Linked DNA regions of Callithrix jacchus. The protein of the gene in region 3 purifies or fractionates together with the protein of the main gene of each other region. This does not show direct contact. Links are inferred from orthologs where the notes say so. Each region holds a gene or a part of one and is shown on either strand. Other genes may lie near its edges.

Evidence for each region.
Region 1: the proteins of MAP2K1 (region 3) and LAMTOR3 purify together in Homo sapiens (affinity purification with western blotting; 3 studies listed by BioGRID, with this or other methods). This does not show direct contact. The link is inferred for Callithrix jacchus from reciprocal best matches to the Homo sapiens genes MAP2K1 and LAMTOR3.
Region 2: the proteins of MAP2K1 (region 3) and IQGAP1 purify together in Homo sapiens (affinity purification with western blotting; 3 studies listed by BioGRID, with this or other methods). This does not show direct contact. The link is inferred for Callithrix jacchus from reciprocal best matches to the Homo sapiens genes MAP2K1 and IQGAP1.
Region 4: the proteins of MAP2K1 (region 3) and MAP3K1 purify together in Homo sapiens (affinity purification with western blotting; 3 studies listed by BioGRID and IntAct, with this or other methods). This does not show direct contact. The link is inferred for Callithrix jacchus from reciprocal best matches to the Homo sapiens genes MAP2K1 and MAP3K1.

Annotation. Positions count from the first base shown.
Region 1 is NC_133504.1:97,478,796-97,482,978, forward strand, and holds the start of LAMTOR3 (ragulator complex protein LAMTOR3), read left to right. Parts: upstream 1-1,378; 5' UTR 1,379-1,463; intron 1,464-1,785; 5' UTR 1,786-1,822; coding exon 1,823-1,831; intron 1,832-4,183. UniProt on the Homo sapiens protein: As part of the Ragulator complex it is involved in amino acid sensing and activation of mTORC1, a signaling complex promoting cell growth in response to growth factors, energy levels, and amino acids.
Region 2 is NC_133507.1:20,015,283-20,019,591, reverse strand, and holds the start of IQGAP1 (ras GTPase-activating-like protein IQGAP1), read left to right. Parts: upstream 1-1,459; 5' UTR 1,460-1,560; coding exon 1,561-1,615; intron 1,616-3,958; coding exon 3,959-4,058; intron 4,059-4,309. UniProt on the Homo sapiens protein: Plays a crucial role in regulating the dynamics and assembly of the actin cytoskeleton.
Region 3 is NC_133509.1:13,421,061-13,425,206, forward strand, and holds the start of MAP2K1 (dual specificity mitogen-activated protein kinase kinase 1), read left to right. Parts: upstream 1-1,307; 5' UTR 1,308-1,738; coding exon 1,739-1,818; intron 1,819-4,146. UniProt on the Homo sapiens protein: Dual specificity protein kinase which acts as an essential component of the MAP kinase signal transduction pathway.
Region 4 is NC_133503.1:152,985,556-152,989,116, reverse strand, and holds part of MAP3K1 (mitogen-activated protein kinase kinase kinase 1), read left to right. Parts: intron 1-767; exon of another isoform or gene 768-965; intron 966-2,555; coding exon 2,556-2,705; 3' UTR 2,706-3,561. UniProt on the Homo sapiens protein: Component of a protein kinase signal transduction cascade. Activates the ERK and JNK kinase pathways by phosphorylation of MAP2K1 and MAP2K4. May phosphorylate the MAPK8/JNK1 kinase.

The DNA.
Region 1 (4,183 bases), on a different chromosome or scaffold from region 3:
ATAAGACAAAAACCTGAAAGAGTTTACATCTAGCAATGAAAATAAATATCAAATAAATAATTATAATTATAATAAATGCTACAAAGAAAATTACAGGGTACAATGAGAGCATTTATCTAGAAGATCTAAACTATTCAGTGAGGGTCAGGGAAGACTTCTCTGAGAGTGAGTTTAAGCTGACACTCAAAAGTGAGATTAGTAGGAGTAAGGCAGAATGTGCTAAGCTGGTAAAGTGATAAAAATCTTTATGGAAGTGAAAACAAACTTGGGTGATCATAGCATAAGGGATCCACGGTAAATGAGAGAATTAAGATAGGGGCCAGATCCCCATAGAATGATATATAAACCATGATGCTGACATTGATCTTTATTCTAAGTCAACAAAATTGATTTTCAAGGAAGGAGTTCCATGATCTGATTTGGGATTTTAGAACATCATTTTAGTTGCTATATGGAGACTGGAGGGCAAAAGAAAATGTAAGAAAGATAGGAGGTTATTGTCAAAAGAGAGATGATCATGGCTTGGACTAAGGTAGGAATATAGTTAGGTGAATAGTTTTCAAAGATACTCAGGAGGTAGAATCAACAGAACTCTCTTTGGATTTGGGACATATGGAGGCAGCAATTAAAAACCAGGCTAAAATTTTCTGAAAAATTGGCTGTGAAACGGAGTAGCGGAAAAACGGTGGTAGCTGAAAGAGAATGTGATTTCTAAAGAAGCTTTTCTTTTGAGGGTCTCGCTCTGTCACTTAAGCTGGAGTTCAGTGGGGCGATCACCACTCAGTGCAGCTTCAAACCCTGGGCTCAAGTGATCTGTTTGCCTCAGCCTCCGGAGTACCTCCTGGCCGCACATCACCTAAGGCTAATTCTTTTTTGGGGTAGAAACGGGATCCTCCCTTCCAAGCTGGTTTAGAACTCCTGGGCTCAAAGAATCGTCCTGCCTTGGACTCCCAAAGTGCTACATGAGACCTTACTAATTTTTTTAAATTCTGATGTAGAAGGGGCTTGCTGCTCAGCTCATCACACCATCCCCTCAAATTTCATCTACAAGAAAAGGTTTTAAGATAATGGACCCTGAAAAACTAATGACATTTATAAACCCTCTCCGCAAGAATGCCTTGTAACACATAGCCTTGCTTGCATTTCCTGGGGTTCTTAGAGTCCAGCGATCTCGTACAAATTCCCTACCCCACAGCTGACGTCCTTCGGCCTGTGACACAAGGCGCAGGCTCAAGACGCGGTCCGCGGTGGGCGGGGGAGGGGCGAGGCCCGTCGGGCCCAGCACGCTCGCAGCTTCCGCCCGGCTCCTCCGGAAATCCCGTATTACGGGGCGACTGCGTAGCTAGTGCTTCCTGGGGCACAGAAGAGGTCACGAATCATGTGACAGTGGCTTGAGGAGGAACCGGTCTTTAAAGCGTCCCTGAAGTGACAGTGGAGAGAACCAGGCAGCGTAGAAACCCCAGGTAACTGGCGCTGCTTTGCCCGGTTTTGAGGTCTAGTCCCGGGAGTGGCGCGGGTGGTGATTCTAAACAGAAGGGGAGGACCCTCTCTTCTTTTCTTTGGGCCTAGCTCTTTCTGGTGAAGGGGCAGGGATGGGGTGGGGTGAGGTAAGGCGTGCCGGCTGAGTACCCGTGGCGGAGTTGGGGCACTCCGACTCCCACTGAACTCGATGGGCCAAGCCGGAGTTTTGCCTGGTTCTGTCCAGGCCTGATCTCTCTCATTAAGTTGGGGGTAGAGAGGACGAGGAAGCCAAGAGGGAAGAGTCACCGGGAGTTTCTCTTCCAGGCGTGGAGATTGATCCTGCGAGAGAAGGGGGTTCATCATGGCGGATGTGAGTGACACCCCCACATAAGAGGAAGGGGAGGGTGGGGAATTTGGAGGGGAATACTGAGCGGGGAGAGGTAGAGCTTCCCAAGTAGAAATTTGTTTTGATTCTCCCATCCCCACCCACCCCAGTTTTTCTCTGGTAACTGGAGTGGGAGACTAATATGAATGAATTTGCAGGATCCTGAGTTTCTGCCTCGAATGTGGGTGGAGGACATTAAGGTGCTTGAGACAGAAAATTCTATTCTCCCTACTCCCCAGTCCAGTTGGGGCATAAGAGAGGCTCTGTATATTTACCGTTTGAAATTCTGAATGGTGGTTTGCTGCCTGTCTCATCAGTATGTGGTCAGTGGGACATGTACCCAGAATCCTTTTTTTCCCGTAAGTGGTAACAATATCTCATTAGGTTTATTGCAGCAATTTAGGATGTGATTTCTAACCCATGCCTCTTTAGAAACATGGTGAGTTCTCTCTCTCTTTCTCTCTCTCTCTCTCTCTCTCTCTCTCTCTCTCTCTCTCTCTCTCTCTCTCTCTCTGTGTGTGTGTGTGTGTGTGTGTGTGTGTGTGTGTGTGTGATGAATGAAAGCTAAAGTAAGCTGATAGTCATAACATGAAATAGAATGATCATTTGGGTTTGGAGAATATTAAGTGTTGGAGGCACAAAACAACGGACTTCTAATTAATCCATGTGAGGTCAAAATTGATACCTAAATTGCCAATGAAATTCCTGGGATGAGAGTGTAACAAGACAATATAAAATAGTCTTATGGCCAGTGCTGTGGCTTAGTCTGTAATCGCAGCACTTTGGGAGGCCGAGGTGGAAGGATTGCTTGAGGCTGCGAGTTCAAGACCTGCCTGGGCAACATAGCAAGACCCCATTCTACAAAAATAAAATTTAAAATTAGCCAGGCGCATTGATGCCCCTATAGTCCCAGCTATGCCGGAAGTGAAGTGGGAGGATTGCTTGAGCCCAGAAGTTGGAAGTTGCAGTGAGCACCAGCTTAGAAAAATAAAGTAGTCTTCTATTTCTTTAGTCTTAACTGTGTTTCGTGTTAAACACTTGACACACATTGCCATTTATCTTATATTCTGTAAGACTGGGTCAGGCATGGTGACTTACGCCTGTAATACCAGCACTTTGGGCAGATCACCTGAGGTCAGGAGTTCGAGACCAGCCTGGCCAACATGGTAAAACCCCGTCTCTACTAAAAATACAAAAACTTAGCTGGGTGTGATGGTGGGCACCTGTAATCTCAGTTACTCGGGAGGCTGAGGCAGGAAAATCGCTTGAACCCAGGAGGTGGAGGTAGCAGTGAGCCGAGACTGTGCCATTGCACTCCAGGCTAGACAACAAAAGCAAAACTCCGGCCGGGTGCGGTGGCTCAAGCCTGTAATCCCAGCACTTTGGGAGGCCGAGGCGGGTGGGTCACGAGGTCAAGAGATCGAGACCATCCTGGTCAACATGGTGAAACCCCGTCTCTACTAAAAATACAAAAATTAGCTGGGCATGGTGGCGCGTGCCTGTAACCCCAGCTACTCAGGAGGCTGAGGCAGGAGAATTGCCTGAACCCAGGAGGCGGAGGTTGCGGTGAGCTGAGACTGCGCCATTGCGCTCCAGCCTGGGTAACGAGCGAAACTCCGTCTCAAAAAAAAAAGATAAAAAGGAAAACTCCGTTGCCTCCCCCTCAAAAAGACTGTTGCCTCACATAGTCATATAGAATTTATTTTAGGTCCTTAAACAGAATATTTTAAAAGTCACATTATAATAATATGCCTTACACTTTCATTATTTGTTGAGTAGGTGAGTTCAACAAATAATGCAACAATGGAAGGCTTTTTTTCCATAGATTTCATCATATTGGCGAGGCTGGTCAAATTTGGATAGGACAGGGTCTAGAAAACAGTGTAAGGCATATTATTACAATGTGCTTTTTAATATTCTCTTTCAGGATTTTTTTTCTTTTTCTTTTTCTTTTTTTTTTTTTTTTTGAGATGGAGTCTTGCTCTGTCCCCCAGGCTGGAGTGCAGTGGCACATTCTCGGCTCACTGCAACCTCTGCCTCCTGGGTTCAAGCCATTCTCCTGCCTCAGCTTCCCAAGTAGCTGGGATTACAGGTATGTGCCACCATATCTGGCTAATTTTTGTATTTTTAGTAGAGACCAGGTTTCATTATATTGGCCAGGCTGGTCTCAAACTCCTGACCTCAGGTGATCCACTCGCCTTGGCCTCTCAAAGTGCTGGGATTACAGGCGTGAGTCGCCAAGCCCTGCCAGAAGGCCTGTTTTTATAATGTAATAGTTATGTAAGGCAACAGTCTTACAGAAGTCATATCAACTTACCCAAAACCATTAAAATGATG
Region 2 (4,309 bases), on a different chromosome or scaffold from region 3:
CTGTGACGATCTGGTTGGCAGAAGGGAGACTGAATATGATGACAATCTAAGCAGTGTAATCACAACGGGGATGGAGACAAAAGCAGACACCTCAGAAATAGACACAGATTAAATGTAGGGCGTGAGGCAAGGAGCCTGGGGTGTTCCCATTGGGAACTGAGTACTTCTATGAATAGAGAATATAGCAGGAGCAGGGTGAATGTTTGATGGGTAGGATTTGAGTTGTCTGCCCTATACACAGGCCAAAGTGTTCATTAGCTGAAAATATTGAGGGGCTTCCAGACGATCTGGCCTGGATATACATATTGAAGGGTCTTCAGCAGTTAGAGACAAGTGTAGAAGAAGTTACTGAGTGGGCAAAGAAAAGAAAGGAAGCGGGCCGGGCATGGTGGTTCACGCCTGTAACCCCAGCACTTTGGGAGGCCAAGGCGGGTAGATTACCTAAGGTTAGGAGTTCCAGACCAGCCTGACCAGCATGGTGAAACCTCGTGTCTATTAAAAATACACAAAAAAATTAGCTGAGCGTGGTGGCGGATGCCTGTAATCCCGGCTACTTGAGAGGCTGAGGCGGGAGAATCGCTTGAACCCAGGCAGCAGGGGTTGCGGTGAGCCGAGATCGCGCCATTGCTCTCCAGCCTGGGCGACAAGAGCGAGACTCCTTCTCAAAAAAAAAAAAAAAAAAAGAAAGAAAGAAAGAAAGAAAGAAAACAAAAAAGAAAAAACGGAAGGAAGAGGGCTGCGGACAGAATACCGTTGAATACTAATATTTAAAGGGCAAGCCACAAGGTGCAGGGGGAAGAGACTTCCCTGATACGGGAAGAGAGTTATCTAAAAAAGAACTTGCAAAGAACAATGTCAAGGGCTCTAAAGGTCGGAGGTTTGGACAGAGCTCGGCTTCAGCATCCACATCTCAAACACCTGGGTAATCTGGTGACTGCTGCTGAATCTGAGAGGACTGAGGCCATGCTGCCGAACTGCGGAGCGTGGGGCTGGAGGACCTTTACGGCAGTCTGGGGACTGCCTGGGTCCAACCAGACACTCTGGACCACCTCAAAGGGCGTCTTCTCTTGAGTTTGGTGCAGAAGTTAGCTGGGTGGGGGGGCCAGTGAGAGAAGAGAGACGACCCATGATTTTGATTTCAGGAAGCAGACACCGGCAGCCTTTCGGTTAGAGCTGCGGGTAGGGCGGTGGCCCTGGGGCGGGGCTGTAAACCTGGGCCTGCATTGCCGGCAGGGCAAGCTCTGCGCGAGCGGGTTTGGAGGACAGGCTCTACCTTCTTCTTCCGCCTACCTATACTGTAGCGGGATGCAGAGCGGGGAGGGGATGAGGGGGCGGGGTTAGGGGGCGGGCGGGCCGGCTCTGGCCCCGCCTATTTCCGGCCGCTCAGGCCGGTGCGGCAGGGCGGGGCCGCTGGGGCGGGGCTTGAGGGGGGGGTTGACGGGACGGGGCGGGGCCTCGGGGACCCGGGCAGCCCGCGCACTTGGCAGAAGCTTGCATCTGCCGCCGCCCGCGCCTCCAAGGTTTCACGGTTTCCTCAGCAGAGAACCGAGGTCGGCCGCCATGTCCGCCGCAGAGGAGGTTGACGGACTGGGCGTGGCCCGGCCGCACTATGGCTGTGAGTGCGGGGCTCCACGGCACGGGGGCTTCGGGGCCGGGCTAACTGCAGACGAGGCGCGGTTTTCCTGGAGGCTCGGCCGGCCGGGTGGGGCAGGGCGGCTGCCGGCAGCTCGGACCCGGAAGAGCAGCCCGGGCGGGGCAGCGGGCGGCGAGGCCTCGGGTGCGAGCCCCCGCGGGCTCCGAGGCGGCGGCGAGGACCCCCGAGGCCTCCCCGCCTTAGCTGGGGCTGCGGTAGGGGGAGCCCCACCCAGCGCTTCCCGCCAGCCAGGCTCGACCGAGATTGGGGAAGGCGGCCTAGGGTGAGGTGGCAGGAGGACCGTGCAGGGCGTGTCCTGGGGACTGGGGTTTGGGGACGCGGGCTCTGCCACGGCTCCGTGGAAAGGCATTGCCCTAGTGCTGCCTGCGGGATGGACGCAGGGAGTAGACCGAGGTCCACACCTGCCCGATCCTAGGCTAGTTGAGAGGTGCCGTCCTGGGCAAGTCACTTCGGTTTTCTTGGGCTCAGTTCCCTCCTCAAGATTTCAAAAGTAAAAAGAAAAAAAAAAGGCAAAAAATCCTCTGACTTCCTCATTTTCTGTTGCCTGCCCTGGACGTCATTGAACTGCAGGCACGATTGGCTAAAGGAGGACCCTTTGGGGTTTTGAGGTTTTCAAGTATCAACATTTCGGACATCAACAGTTATATGTGTGGTTTGTGCAGCGTTTGTGAAATTAAAGATGAGTAAGATCAGGCCCTGCCTCCAGAGAACATTTTAATCAGACGGACAGGTGTGCAAGCTAATGTTTATAAAGTGCAATAGAGATAAAAGATGCTGAACCTACTAGCCATACAGAGTAATGTAGGTAAGGTAAGGAGAGGGGCTTGGGGAAGACAGTCTGAGTATGGGAGGTGACTTTTTTTTTTTTTTTCCCGAGAGAGAGAGAGAGAGAGAGAGAGAGAGAGTCAGTCTGTCTTGCTCTGTTACCCAGGCTGGAGTGCAGTGGCACAATCTCAGCCCACTGCAACCTCCACCTCCCAGGTTCCAGCGATTCTCCTCCCTCAGCCTCCCAAATAGCTGGGACTATAGGTGTTCACGATCACACTAAGCTAATTTTTGTATTTAGTAGAGACGGGGGTTTCACCATGTTGGCCAGGATGGTCTCAAACTCCTGACCTGAAGTAATCCCCCCGCCTGGGCCTCCCAAAGTGTGAGCCACTGCCCCCAGCCAGAAGTTGACATTTGAACAGACCCTTGAACCATGCTGTGTAGAAAGTTTGTCAGGTGGCCAGGTGTGGCTCCTACATGTAATCCCAGCAATTTGGGAAGCCGAGGTAAGAGGATTGTTTGAGGCCAGGAGTTTGAGACCAGCCTGGGCAGCATAGTGAGATCCCATCTCTTAAAAAAAAAACAAAAAACCAGGGGTGGTGGCCCACGGCTGTGGTTCCAGCTGCTCAGGGCTAAGGGTAGGATCATTTGAGCCCAGGAAGTGGAGGCTGCAGTGAGCCATGATTGTGCCACTGCACTCCAGTCAGAGTGACAGAACAAGACCCTGTCTCAAGAAACAAACGTGTTAGGGCATGGTGGAACAAGAGGCAGGACATGAGAGAAGGGCATAGACGAAGGTGGTGAATAGTTGAGGGACACTGTGTGTGCTGGGAAATGAGTGGTGTGGAGTGCACCGTGGTGGGAGGAAGCGCAGAGGAGAGTTTCCAAAAATAGTGGAGACCAGACTGGGAAAGGCCTTGAATGTCTTCCCAAGGAGTTAGGAATTTATTCCATACCTGGTACCCAGGAAGGAAGCAGATAGATGCCTTCAAGGTTAAGCTCGGGCTTTGGAGACAGACTCTCCAGCGTGAATTCAGGCCCTGCATTTGTTTGCCATGGGACTGAGCTCACCCAGCCTCAGTTTCTTCATCTGTAAAATAGGAGCAATAATCACAGGATTGTTATGGGGTTTCAGTGAGAGAATGCGGGTAAAATGCTTGTTACAATTACTGCCACTTATTTCTGAATAACTGCTGGTCATTAATAAAAGAAGGAAACAACATTATCAGATCTGTGTTTAGAAGTTCTGGCAGGTAGGGACAGATTTGGGCCAAAATCTCAAGACAGTATTTTTCAAGTTTTCATTAAATTTAGTACATATTTATATTATACATTTTTTAAAAGGTCAAGATGAGTATTGTTGAAACCACATAGTTCTTTTTTTAGGAAGGTCATTGTAGTACACCTAGCTAGCCACACATTCATCGGTTACCCTGACTTTCTAGGTGAGTAGCAGGAAATTGATGCTGTGGCAATCTTTTATCACTCAGGAAGGCAACAGATCCTGGTGTTTACATTCTTTCTTTTCTGTTTTAGCTGTCCTGGATAATGAAAGACTTACTGCAGAGGAGATGGATGAAAGGAGACGTCAGAATGTGGCTTATGAGTACCTTTGTCATTTGGAAGAAGCAAAGAGGTAAAGATTGGCTGGCTGGAGAGAAGATTAAGAGAAGGGAACTGATAATAGTGTGAATACAAATAAAGATTTCTTTGAGGCTGAGCTCGGTGGTCCACGTCTGTAATCCCAACGCGTTGGGAGGCCAAGGCAGGAGGATCACTTGAACCCAGCTGTTTGAGACAGACTGGGCAACATAGTGAGACCCTGTTTCTACAAAAAAAATTTAAAAGTTAGCCAGGTGTGGTGGTGCATGCCTGTAGTCCCATCTA
Region 3 (4,146 bases):
TTTTAAGGCTAGTCAAGTGAAGCAGTGGGAGTGGAGAAGGAACAAAAAAATCTGTAACTGGCTGGGCGCGGTGGCTCACACCTATAATCCCAGCACTTTGGGAGGCCAAGGCGGGTGGATCACGAGGTCAAGAGATCGAGACCATCCTGGTCAACAGGGCGAAACCCTGTCTCTACTAAAAATACAAAAAAATTAGCTGGGCATAGTGGTGCGTGCCTGTAGTCCCAGCTACTCGGGAGGCTGAGGCAGGAGAATTGCTTGAACCCAGGAGGCGGAGGTTGCGGTGAGCCGAGATCGTGCCATTGCACTCCAGTTTGGGTAACAACAGCGAAACTGCGTCTCAAAAAAAAAAAAGAAATCTGTAACTGGTTGTGATCAATTAGTTGTAAACACCACGGCACTCGGACCAGCCTGGATGAAAGTTTTTAAAGAGTCTCGCTCTGAAGCTGGTGTGCAGTGGTGTGATCCTAACTCATTGCAGACTCAAACTCCTGGGCTCAAGTGATCCTCCAGCCTCAGTCTCCTCAGTAGCTCAGACTACAGGTGCACTCAGTCACGCCCAGCCAGTAGAGACCGGGGAGGGGTGGGGGGGGGAGTCTCCCTGCTCAGGCAACACTGGGATTACAGACGTGAGCCACCACTCCTGGACTGGTAAAGGGTGTTTTTAAGGCTTTAAAAAAAATGTTACCAACATAGTGAAACCCCGTCAAAAAAAAAAAAAAAAAAAAATCAATCTGCTCTCAAAAACCGTTGCAACAATTTACAGTCTCATCAGCACTGAGTATCCATTTCCCCGCACCCTTCTCAGGAGTATTATTAAACAAATAAAATACATAAATGACAGTTCGTTGGGCTCAAGGAGTCTCTGGACAAGTTTCCTATTTACCACGCCGCCTCTCCTCTGGACACAGGAAGGGGTCCTTTTCCTTATTTATTTTGTTATTTCATTTCTGTCAACAGGACTCGGCTTTGGGACGAAGGTTGGGGACAGGCTAGTTACCGCAGACGAGGAGGCCGCGCAGCACTTGGCCTAGAGGAGCTCAACCGGCAGCCGATACGAACCTCTTTTCGGAGGGGTCAGCCTGCGTGTCTCCGGGCGGCAGAGGGCGCCGTCGAGCCCGCGACAGACCCCGCCCCCAGGGCAGCGCGCCGCGCTCCCATGACGTATTTCCGCGTCATCTGCCGCCGAGGCTTGCTCCCATTGGTTGTTGGCGAGGCAATAGGGGCGGAGTGAGTGGGTGTGTGGAAAGCGCCGCAGCTCGGGTGGGGGGCGAGGCTTCCCCTTCCCCGCCCCTCCCCCGACCTCCAGTCCCTCCCAGGGCCGATGCGCTTAGCGGCTAGGAGCGCGGCGGCGGCAGTTTCCTCGACAGGAGCTGGAGCTGGGCTCTGGTGCGCGCGCGACGGGGCCGCCTGAGCTGGAGAGACTGGTTGGTTGAGGGAGAGAGGGAGGGAATCCCGGGCTGCCGAACCGCACTTTCAGTTCGCTCCACTCCTGCGGGCAGCCCTTCGGCTCGCTGCGCGCGGAGCCGAGTCCCGGGCGGGTGGGGCGGGGGTCCCCTGAGACCGCCACCGGCCCCCTCGGAGCTGACGGGACCGCGCGGGGCGCACCCGCCGAAGGCATCCCCGCGGCCCGCGGCCCGGACTTGGACCTGCGCAGCGGGCTCGGGGCAGCTCAGCGGGAGGAAGCGAGAGGTGCTGCCCTCCCCCCGGAGTTGAAAGCGCCTTAGCCGGGTCCAAAATGCCCAAGAAGAAGCCGACGCCCATCCAGCTGAACCCGGCCCCCGACGGCTCGGCGGTTAACGGGACCAGCTCTGCAGAGTAAGTATGGAGCGGGTGGCGAACGTCGGGGCCCGGCTGGGGAGGCCCGGGCCGGGGCTCAGGAGCGCGCGCCAGGCTCCTCTCCGGTTTGTCACGTACGTCTGGGGCTGGCAGGGGGCGAGGAACTCCCGGCCGCCGGGGTATCAGTGACTAAGCACTGATTGTGCTCCTGACTCAGACCAGTTCGCGGATTTCGCGGGTCTCGATTTCCCTCTTCACCCGTTTCCCGACAGTTTCAGTGGTCCCTGGCCATTGACCGGTCTCCTCCCAAGAAAATAAAAGCTGGCACATCTCTCCTGCCTCTCCCCAGCTGTGTTCTAAATGTGATCCTCTGGGAGTCTGGGCTGTAACGGGGAGAGGAGGCTAATGTTTTGGAAAGAATTAAGATCGCATCTGTGCTTTGAGACCGGCTCAGTTTATGAAGTGTGGAGCATTAGCCTCACCTTCATGCCTGACACCTGTGGGGCCTAAATGCCTTGTTGCAGGCCAGCTGCCTGGCCAGCGGGGGCGTGCTGGAAGTCCGTGTGGACTTCGTGGCTTTTCCTTGCTGACTTTGGGAGTTCCCGGTCCTTGGCCTTCCTGGGAACTGTCTTGCTCAAGAAAGCATCGTTCCTTATCTGGCTATTCATTCATTCATTTATTCAACAAACCATTTCCTCACTAATGATTAGCTTTCCGTACTTGGCCAGGAGCTCCTAAACTCCTGACCTGAGACATGAACACCATGACCTGTAAACCGTATACTAGGTGTTCCATCTCTGCAGCTTCTAGCGTTGCTCACAAATGAACACTTTATTTCATTAAATAATCATGAGGCTGTTTACTGGGGGTTTCTGAGCTACCACAACTCTTTTGGGTTCTAGGTAAGGGACAAGACTATGTGAGGGAAAGCTGCTTAGCTAGCTAGAGAAATGGCCAGAAAAGATCAGTTTATTTTTATTTTTTGCCTTTTTTTTGGTGGTGGTTTGTCCAATCTTCAGTAAAGATTTTGTTTTTAATCTTTTACCTGCATCCTGCAGACTTTAGGAAGCTAATTGATGAAATCAGAGTAGGCTTGGACTTTCTGCTCTTTGGTGATTTCTGTAACCTCCCTTTCTTTCTCTAGATTTAAAAAAAATTTTATTTTTAAAAATTTTATAGAGATGGGGTCTTGGTATATTGCTTAGGCTGGTCTTGAACTCCTGGGCTCTAGCGATCCTCCCAAAGTGCTGGGATTACCCAGCCAACTTTCCCTATATTTTAATAACCTGGGGACCTGTTGGCTTGGTGACTTGTTCCATGCCTGTAGTGATCACACGGTCAGTGGTGGACCTGTGTGTGGTATGTGTTCAGCTAAGTTCTTGAGACCTACTCCCAGCAGACTCTCCTCTTTAGGCCCCTCGCAGTCGTGTGGTATCTGTTTTGCATGTTACTGACTTGTATAGGTGGTTGGGTTGCATTGCAAACATTTTTTTTTTTTTTTTTTTGAGACAGGGTTTCACTCTTGTTGCCCAGGCTGGAGTGGAATGGTGCGATCTCGGCTCACTGCAACCTCTGCCTCCTGGGTTCAAGTGATTGTCCTGCCTCAGCCTCCTGAGTAGCTGGGATTACAGGCATGTGCCACCACGCCTAATTTTGTATTTTTAGTAGAGAGGGGCTTCTTCGTGTTGGTCAGGGTGTTTTTTTTTTGAGACGGAGTTTCGCTCTTGTAACCCAGGCTGGAGTGCAATGGCGCGATCTCGGCTCACCGCAACCTCCGCCTCCTGGGTTCAGGCAATTCTCCTGCCTCAGCCTCCTGAGTAGCTGGGATTACAGGCACGCGCCACCATGCCCAGCTAATTTTTTGTATTTTTAGTAGAGACGGGATTTCACCATGTTGACCAGGATGGTCTTGATCTCTTCACCTTGTGATCCACCTGCCTTGGCCTTCCAAAGTGCTGGGATTACAGGCTTGAGCCACTGTGCCCGGCCAGGGTGGTCTTGAACACCTGACCTCAGGTGATCTGCCTGCCTCGGCCTCCCAAAGTGCTGGGATTACAGGCGTGAGCCATAATGTTTGCTGCAGTGCAAACGTTTGTTCAGTTTTAGTGTACAGTGTTTCACCTTCTTAAAACAGACTGAAAGCCCTGACTGTTGTTAGGACAGATTCTGACCACAGTGGATTCTGGCTGAATGTCGTGGCCTGATCATCCTTTCCTATTTGAATTGGACGTGAATACTAAGAAGAAGTACCTGTTACTCTGTTGTAATTGTGAAACCACAACTATTCTCTCAAGGGGGAGGGGTTTCACTAAAATAGTAAAAGCAGGACGAGAAGAAACTACTCCATATTTGGTGACAGAAAAATTT
Region 4 (3,561 bases), on a different chromosome or scaffold from region 3:
CTCCCAGGTAGCTGGGACTACAGGCACACACCACCACGCCCAGCTAATTTTTGTATTTATAGTAGAGATGGAGTTTCACCACATTGGCCAGGCTGATCTTGAACTCCTGACCTCAAGTGATCTGCCCACCTCAGCCTCCCAAAGTATTGGGATTACAGGCATGAGCCACTGCACCTGGCCTAATTCACACCCAAGTCAGTTCAGTTACTAAATCCTGTTCTACCTACCTTTTCATAACTCACAGATCCACTCTCTGCTTTTCCACCATAGAATAGGTAATGGTTGACATTTTTAGTAGACTTTTCAGTAGACATGAGATAGTTGAAATAATGGGCTTTGGAGTCACCCTGACATAGTTTTAAACCCTTAATGGCCTTGTGATCATAGGGAAATTATTTTTTGTGTCTACCCTCCATTTTCTCATATGTAAAACTGCTGCAAGAATCCTATGAAGCACATACTTCATAGGATTACCATGAAGATAAACAAAATTATGCCTAGGCCTTAGTCACTCAACCTACACAGTCAACTCCACCTGTCATCACCTCCTCCAGTCCTCCCCACACTTACTATAACCTCCTAAGTCACCTCTCTGACAATACCTGTTTTGTATTATTACCTCATTTCCTCTATTCTTTCGGACTTCCCATGTCCCTTTTCCACATGGATCAAATTCTTAATCGCTTTAAGGCCCATATCTCTGCTCCTCCTGCTTGGGCACCCCCTTCTTACTGCTTCCACAGATTCTGTAGCATTTTAGTACATACTTGTTTCTGACACTTTGTTTCTTGTATCCTAGTTAAGTTCCTATATTGCTTCCTTTTTCAAATTAAGTCTCCTTGAGGTCCATTCACATCTGCTTCATTTTTTTCCTTCCAGAGTCTTAAATAGAAGTTGCTCGATAAATACTCATAACTAGGATCAATTTGAAAGTTTGATGTCATTTTCAGAGTTTTGGTGAGCCCCTGGAAACAAATGGAAATGATTTTAAAATTGGCACCATTCATATTTTAACAGATTTCATTGCATTCTCCTTCATAGATAGAGTTTAAAGAGAATTGTACTATAATATTTTCCGTTTTCTTAACTTGGAGTAAATACTTTGAGGTCTTTGGAAGCACCCCAAAGAGACAGAAAAACGGCTTTCTCAAACACTTACATACCTGTTTATGGTAGTAAAAATTGCTGTAGCACATTTTTTTAAGAGAACGATTTGGCAATATCCAAATCCAAATTTGGATTTTGGCAAAATCCCAAAAAAAATAAGTGCCAGAATTTAAATGCACTTATTCTTTGACTCAGCTATGCCCATTGTTAGGGATTTACTCTAGATTACCTCTAGAAGTACCAAGTGCCAAGTTCAGGATTATTCACTCTACTCAAGAAAGTAATTAAATTATCCACACAATGTAAAACTATATAGAAATTAAATAAATTTAGTATAAAGCTGTTGGTGTTTAGAAAGTGCTACAAGATACATTAATAAGTGAAAAGAGCAAGATACATAAAGTGATCCTGGCCAGGCACAGTGGCTCATGCCTGTGATCTCAGCACTTTGGGGGGCTGAAGTGAGAACATAACTTGAGCCCAGGAGTTGGAGACCAGCCTGGGCATAGCAAGACCCTGTCTCTACAAAAAAAGAAAAAAAATTAGCTGAGCATAGTAGCACCTGCCTGTGCTCCCAGGTACTCAGGAGGCTATGAGGTGGAAGGATCGTTTGAGCCCAGGAGGTCAAAGCTGCAATGAGCCATGTTCACACCACTGCACTTCACCTTGGGTGACAGTGAGAGAGAACCTGTCTCGAAATTAAGTTTTCTCTTTTGTAGACATTTTAGAAAATCTAAAGTCTGTGAGATATATTGGCCTTTTTTTCTCCACATACACAAAAAAACCAAAAACACAAATCGTCAGAAGTAAGTGGTTACATTTGGGGAAAAGGAAAAGGGATTTCATTTTTTGTTTTGTATTTTCCCTTTTTGTGGTGTCTAAGATGTGTATGTATCAGCTGAGTATATCTTCATATAGCATCACAGACCTTATAGGATTTTTCTTTATATTACTTTGCATTTTTTAACCCAAAGCATTTATGAAATTATTGGGGTAGGGAAAGGAAAGAGTTTTCTTGTGATTAGGAGTGGGTAGGTGGGTTTAAAGTATTCAGACGTAAAATTTATTGAAAAGTCATTCTTCATAATGCATTTGATACTAAGAATTTGTCCAACATTGAAGGAAAAAAATCAATGCAGTTGTGTTTTCTGTGTACTAAATTGGCTATTCAGGTTTAGTCTTTCTTAATCTAAATAGCTGTCTATGCTGAAGAAATAGAAAATGTGCAATAAGAACAAACCATCTTTGTGGCCGAATATGAAAACAGAATTCATAGGAGTGAATACTTTCTCTACCTGAACATTGATAACAGAAAGTCCTCCCACTTCTGCTTCAGTTCCTCTCTGTTCAGGATATGAATATAAGGATGATGAGGTATATGCACATGTGTTTCTGTATCAGAAGTTCCAGTTGTGCAAAGCTTTAACACTCTGGCTCTTTCTCCACAGATTGCTAGTGCAACTACTGCTCCATCGATCCCATCACATCTGTCTCCCGGTTTACGAGATGTGGCTCTTCGTTGTTTAGAACTTCAACCTCAGGACAGACCTCCATCAAGAGAGCTACTGAAGCATCCAGTCTTTCGTACTACATGGTAGCCAATTACACAAATCACCTACAGTAGAAACAGGATGCTCAACAAGAGAAAAAAAACTTGTGGGGTACCACATCGATATTCTACTGGCCATGATGCCACTGAACAGCTATGAACAGGGCCAGTGGGGAACCCTTACCTAAGTATGTGATTGACAAATCATGATCTGTACCTAAGCTCAGTATGCAAAAGCCCGCAACTAGTGCAGAAACTGTAAACCGTGCCTTTCAAAGAACTGGCCCTACGTGAACAGGAAAACAAGTTTGCATGACTAAATGGCAGAAGCATAATTTTATTTTTTTGGAGCACTTTTTCAGCAATATTAGCAGCTGAGGGGCTCAGGATCTATTTTAATATTTCAATTATTCTTCCATTTCATATAGTGATCACAAGCAGGGGGTTCTGCAATTCCGTTCAAATTTTTTGTCACTGGCTGTAAAATCAGTATCTGCCTCTTTTAGGTCAGCGTATGCTATGAGTAGCAGTACATACATATATTTTTAAAAGTTGATAACTTCTTTATGACTCATAGTTGGCCTTTATTTTTAAATACTTGGACAATTGTGGCTCATTGTGCATTTTACTGTTGGCCCATTCATTTCGTTTTTGGAAATTATGGTTCTGTATTTTCATTTTTACAATTATTTTTGTTTAATATTCAGGGAAAGGTGATCTTTTCAAACCAGAAAAAAAAAAAACTAGATATGAACTAGAGTTCATTAAATATCTTGCTATTGTAAAAGTTTTTTAAAGTACAGACTTAATTTTGTTTTTTAAATTGGAATACAATAAAGTGCTACCTACATTTACAGTCACCACTCTTATTACTGTGCAGGTAAAATATAAGTTAACTAAAAATT